Linked DNA regions of Xenopus tropicalis. The protein of the gene in region 1 interacts with the protein of each later gene in a biochemical or structural test. Links are inferred from orthologs where the notes say so. Each region holds a gene or a part of one and is shown on either strand. Other genes may lie near its edges. The genes, in order: ehd1 and snap29.

Region 1 (3,839 bases):
GCCAGCTCAGTCCAAAGGGGCCAAATCAGCAGCTTATATCTGCCTGTGTATGAGCAGCTTTAGTTAAGTCTAGGTATGGGTACATAGAGTTTTATATAGGTGAGTGAATTTCTGGCACTGTATAGGTATGTGTGTCTGTACCTGTAACAGTGTAACGTTTTGTGTTTTTTTTTTTTTTAATAAAGGAATGAAAAGTTTTACTGTAGACAATTTATTATGAGCAAGAATGGGTCTGATAGTGACACCAACGAGTTCAACAAAAAGCTCAGAAGTTTCAGCATATTGGTTGAAGTTCTTTTTTTGTTACCAGATATTGCTAGAGTTAAATGACTTCATTTTTAGTTGTATAATATTTCTCAGAGTGCAGACGTCGGTGAAACGTCATTGGAAATATACTTCGTAAATAAACTGGTGGTTGGCATGAATCACTGTTTGTTTTTCTTCTCATTTTAAACACATGGTGTTAACACATCGCCTACAATACCAAGTAACTTTAAAGGGTTTCTGTAATGATTTTTATGATGTACAGGTATGGGACCTGTTATCCAGAATGCTCGGGACCTGGGGTTTTCCAGATAAGGGATCTTTCCGTAATTTTTATCTCCATAGCTTAAGTCTGCTCAACATCATTTAAATATAAATAAACCCAATAGGATTGTTTTGCCTACAATAAGGGGTAATTATATCTTAGTTGGGATCAAGTACAATATACCGTTTTATTAATACAGAGAAAAAGGAAATCATTTTTAAAAATTAGAATTATTTGCTTATAATGGAGCCTATGGGAGATGGCCTTTCCGTAATTCGGAAATTTCTGAAAAACTGGTTTCCGGATAAGGGATCACATACCTGTACTTTTAATTATAAATTACACTGTTTGCAAAGCAAATAATTCACTCTAACATTTAAAATTTTATTCTTGAACCAACAAATGGATTTTTCAGCTTCTTAGCTGTAATACTGGTGTGTAGGCACCATCTCAGTGCATTGTGCCTGAGTCTGAGCTTTCAGAAGGAGCCGGCGCTACACATTAAAACTGCTTTCAGGTAACCTATTGTTTCTCCTACTCCCGTGTAACTGGAGGAGTCCCAAGCCAGACTTGGATTTCTTACTATTGGGTGCTATTCTGATACCTACTGGGAGCTGCTATCTTGCACCCTTCCTAATGGTTTGCTGATTGGCTGCTGGGGGGGGTGGATATCACTCTAACTTGCAGCTCAGCAGTAAAGTGTGACTGAAGTTTATCAGAGCACAGGTCACATGGCTGTGGCACCATGGGAAAAGAAGGATATGGCTAGCCCCATGTGAAATTTCAAAATTTAAATATAAAAAAAATTAAATAAGCTTAGGACTTAAATAAGTCCTGTTGTGCCAGTATTTTTGAACTTAGGGGACGGTGCCGAACCCTTTAAATATTGTACACCAGGCGGGAGCATACGTGGAAAGACCAGGGTGGGTGTACTGGTGAGTGTGGATTGGCATATCTGGTTCTGACTACATGTATCTTTAAAGCAATCTCTCATTAGTCTGTTCTCTTTTAGCCAAGACATAATTTCCCTCAATATATTGCACACTTCTATGAGAGCCGTCTTCTAAAGGAAAAAAAAAACACTGTTTCTTGATTATTTGGGGTGTAAAATGAAAGCAATGATAAATAATAGTTCTTCTCGGATAATAACCTTTTTTCCAGGGCATAGCATCGGCACCCTTATTGGTATAGTCCCAAGATTTAAAAGAGTGAAAATAGTGACACCTACAGGGAGAAAGGACTAGAAAAATATGTTTGGATTCCCATACAGCAGTGATATTGACGTATAACAGTGGGTCAAATGTCTGATGGGACATATTGTTTTTGTCCCTAAAGGGCCATATTGTAACAAAATGAAAATATGACTTAGAAAAGTCTGCCGATCCTTTATAGAGCTACAGCTGACTTTAATGCAACATGCTTTAGTGCAAATAAACTTTACATTGATCTTCGCCATTCAACCAGGACTTAATAGGCCCATGTGCCCCTCACTGTTAAAGACATTGTAAAATTTGGTGTCATTCTTGCTGTAACATTAACCCCAACCTCAAGTGCTCTCTTGGCTTTGTTTATTATTCTTTTCACTATAGCACAGTGTTTTAGTTTGGCATAATAAATAGCCCCATCTTTTTTTCCCTTATAAGGCATAGTAGAATATGACTCATGAAGTGACTCTATTTTTCCATTTCTAGGGGCTTAAAATCACAGAAATATATCTTTTTTTCCATTTAGTTTATACAGAACAAGGTTAGTTTTAATGCAGAAAAAAACAGCTATATCCTTTTTTATTCACTTCCCTTTGTGATCTCTGATCCCCATTGAGTAAGTGTTGGAACAACAGACCACAAAAGTTCCAGGATGCGTAAATTTTCAAGGAAAACTGTCTATATGATAAACTGTCTTTTGGTTAAGTATTCATTCTCTGGGTATTATATTCCTTTAAGGAAATAAAATAATATATTTCCAGTCGATACATTGCTTTTGTGTTGTACCATTATGTATTAATGCCGCCTTCTTTTTTAGGGTATGACTTTGCTGCAGTCCTAGAATGGTTTGCTGAACGAGTGGATCGCATTATCCTTCTCTTTGATGCTCACAAGCTGGACATCTCTGATGAATTTTCTGAAGTCATCAAAGCCTTGAAAAACCACGAGGACAAGATCCGCGTAGTGCTTAACAAGGCAGACCAGATTGAGACTCAGCAGTTAATGAGAGTTTATGGGGCCCTCATGTGGTCCTTGGGTAAAATCATTAACACTCCTGAAGTAGTTAGGGTCTACATTGGCTCTTTCTGGTCCCACCCTCTGCTCATCCCTGACAACCGCAAACTGTTTGAGGCAGAAGAACAGGACCTGTTCAAGGACATCCAGTCTCTTCCAAGAAATGCTGCTCTTCGTAAGCTAAATGACCTTATCAAGAGAGCCAGATTAGCCAAGGTGAGTTTAATGAAGGTTGGACTTGTTCTCATTCGTTCATGAAAGGTTTTCTTTTCATTCTTAAAAGTATTTCTTACAGTATGTATGGGCCAGTGCTACTACTTATGGCCAGCTTTGCTTCTTAGAACCTGTGCTTTATTGGACCTAAATCTCCCTTAAGGCCTTTCCAGAGAAGAAGTGTTAATATAATGTTTTTAAATCTCAAGGTTCATGCTTACATAATTGGCGCCTTAAAGAAAGAGATGCCTAATGTATTTGGAAAAGAAAATAAAAAGAAAGAGCTGATCAACAACCTGCACGAGATTTACATGAAAATTGAGAAAGAGCACCAGATTTCTCCTGGAGACTTCCCCAACATCAAGAAAATGCAGGTAAGCCTGCTTGCTTTAATACAATAAATAAGCAGAACTAACTCTCCACCTATATGTAATTAAGTAGAAACTAGTATGAGACATGGTGTATGGTATGTTTGAAATTGTTCTATACTGTGTTTTTTTAGGGATCCATAGAATCCACATTTTTGGATTCGTCCGAACCCTTTGTAAAGGACCTGGCCAAATACCGAATCCGAATCCTAATTGGAAGGATTAAAAATTTAGGATTTGGTTCGACCAGGAACATGGATTCGGCCGAATCCAAATCCTGCCGAAAAAAGCCAAATCCCAAACTGAACCCTGGATATGTTGCATATGAGACAATTTCAGAGCTAATTTAGATGGCACTTATATGCTGCCATTACTTTTGTCATAGAGGCTTGGTGCATAAGGTAGGCTAAAGAGCTAGTGCCACATAAAGGGCATTATTCTGTTGTGTATGTATGCATATCTTTATTTATAAAGTGCTACTTATGCTGTACTGTAGAAAATATTAATATT
Region 2 (2,516 bases), on another chromosome or scaffold:
TAATGTTCTAAATTGGTTTATTTGATAAGGCTGGTCTGTCTGGCCATGATATTCCATTAAAATTCTTTGCTGTCAAGTTGTAAAGGTAGGTGGACCTTTCACACATCTGGCAATTTAAATATGGTATTGCATGCTTTGGCATCTGGATTACTATAGGCTCTGAGGATCATTAACTACCAATCCTACATTTACTATTATCAGTATTACAATTGCTTTTTAAATTACTGAAATGTGTGCCTTTGCCCTAATGGGGTAACCCAGTGTCTTTTTACATAATAACACTGAAAGGATTTGTGTGGTATAAGACTGGGAGTGAAATAATAAGAGAGCTGCTCTTCAAATACCCCTTTGGCCTGTCTACAAAACCATTATGACTGCTAAAGTGATACTGACACGAAAAAAAAACTTTTTAAAATATAAATCTACATAAAAAGTTGCCTATAGGTCGTGTTGATCATTTTTTACTGATAGGGCTGCTTTTGTAAGTAATTGTTACTTGAAATCCCAAAACCTGACTGTTTTGCCAGCCTGACTGTCCCTTCTCAGCCTGTCAGTTATAGCTTCTAATGCTAACGGCCTCCTGCTGGACAAATATGGCCGCCCCCTCATAGAGGAACATGGGGGATCAGATAGGGAATGTAAAAGCTTGGACAAATACTTTTATGGCAAAATTATAAATAGCATGCAAAGACAATGTTATGACAGATGTAAAAATAATTTCATTTCTGGTGTCAGTATCTCTTAACAAATACTTCCTGTTTTGGCATATCTTTCATAAACAGTTTGGAGGATTGCGACTCTAATTACCAACCAACTAATCACATTAAGAATCTATTGGGAAAGAAATAGGCTCCCAACAGATTTTAATGACTGATTCTAGGCATCAAGGCTACCATTTATAGATGACCTGGTTAAAGCTAAATGACAAGGTGTAACCCATACACCGTATTTTTTTTTTCCATACCTACTAATATTGCTGCATTTTAAAAATAATAATACTAATCCTAAGGTTGTGTTATTCCTTTCTTCCAGATGACATGTCTTTAGGTTTGGGTCGCCTGAAAAACCTTGCACTAGGACTTCAGACAGAAATCGATGACCAGGATGAGATGCTTGGGCGCCTAACTGGCAAAGTAGATAAGATGGACTTAAACATCAAGACTACAGACAAGCGGATTCGCGAAGAGCTATAAAAGACAAATTTCAGACTTGACCAAGACCGACTCTTGAGTTTTATTCTTGTGGTTTTTATAATGTTATGCAGTTTTTTTTTTTTTTGTTTTTTTTTATACTGGGACATAAATATCCCACACATCCCTATCTGAATCTTATATCTTCTGTATAACTATACATTACATTCGTTAGCATTAAATGTAGATGATGTTTTGCAGTATTATTACTAATATAGATCCTTATTAAGATATAAAAATGAATTGTCTTACTATTGGAATTGTATTGTAGTGATTGGCAGTTTGTTATAGCTCTGGATCTGAATAAAGTATTTGAGTTCATTTGCTAGGTATTACCTTACTGCTATATGACAGAATAGACATATGAACATGCCTTTATTAAAACTGCAATATTTTACACATGCTCGTAACATAGGGTTTAATGGGCCCTGCCATATGCCACTTTCTTATTACCCTTATTATTTTAATCTAGTGTTCTGAAACTTTGTGTATAAATATGTTTATAAATTTATGTGACACTCCCGTAAACCATACTGTGAATATTTTATCAGTTTACTTGTTAAGTTAAAAAAAAAAGCCTAATAATCTTGCCTGTTATTATTTTAACTAACTTGTTTAATATATTATTTGCTTTCTGATTTTGTGCCATTTGTCTTCTTTAGACAAATTTGAGTCTGTAGACTTGTTTCTCTGCCTGACATTTCAGATAATTTATTCATACTCCCTTATACTTATTAAATGTTTTGGACATAGTAATCCTTATTTCCCCTTTTGTATTATTAGCACACTTGGGCATATTTTAAAGCTGTGTAAAATATTACATGAGCAATAACACCATGCACCCTTGTAACTATCAATTACAAAGTTGTAATCATAATCAAAACGGGGCACATGTGCTTCAGATAAAATCAGTGGTAAAGAATTTATAGCAGCTGTTGAAGGCAAATGTGCCTAGCTTTTTAGTAGCTGTACATTAACATATATACTGTATATCTTTAAGCAGTACAAGCTATGATAACATCTGAGCCTGTGTTTCACTGTCAAATGCATATATGTTTGAGGGCGTGTTTAAAAAGGCCACTTTGCATACTAGACTGAGAAGTAGCACAATAATCTTGTACAGCAGCATTTTTACCTAGACATAATATATTGATAAATATAAAAGATTATTTGGCTACTTGATGCAGGGTTGCATGTCCTATATCATTGCTATATTTAACTAATTTTTATAATTGTTTTCATCATAAACAATAACATGTAGTGATAAATTGGAACATCCCTACACAGTGTATACACTTGACTTAGGTTCCTCCAAGAGTTTCCATA

What was found.
Region 2: the proteins of ehd1 (region 1) and snap29 form a complex in vitro, tested with the Homo sapiens proteins (2 studies listed by BioGRID). The link is inferred for Xenopus tropicalis from reciprocal best matches to the Homo sapiens genes EHD1 and SNAP29.

Annotation. Positions count from the first base shown.
Region 1 is NC_030680.2:32,934,256-32,938,094, forward strand, and holds part of ehd1 (EH domain-containing protein 1), read left to right. Parts: intron 1-2,551; coding exon 2,552-2,964; intron 2,965-3,170; coding exon 3,171-3,335; intron 3,336-3,839. UniProt on the Homo sapiens protein: ATP- and membrane-binding protein that controls membrane reorganization/tubulation upon ATP hydrolysis. In vitro causes vesiculation of endocytic membranes. Acts in early endocytic membrane fusion and membrane trafficking of recycling endosomes.
Region 2 is NC_030677.2:153,633,076-153,635,591, reverse strand, and holds the end of snap29 (synaptosomal-associated protein 29), read left to right. Parts: intron 1-1,032; coding exon 1,033-1,193; 3' UTR 1,194-1,828; downstream 1,829-2,516. UniProt on the Homo sapiens protein: SNAREs, soluble N-ethylmaleimide-sensitive factor-attachment protein receptors, are essential proteins for fusion of cellular membranes.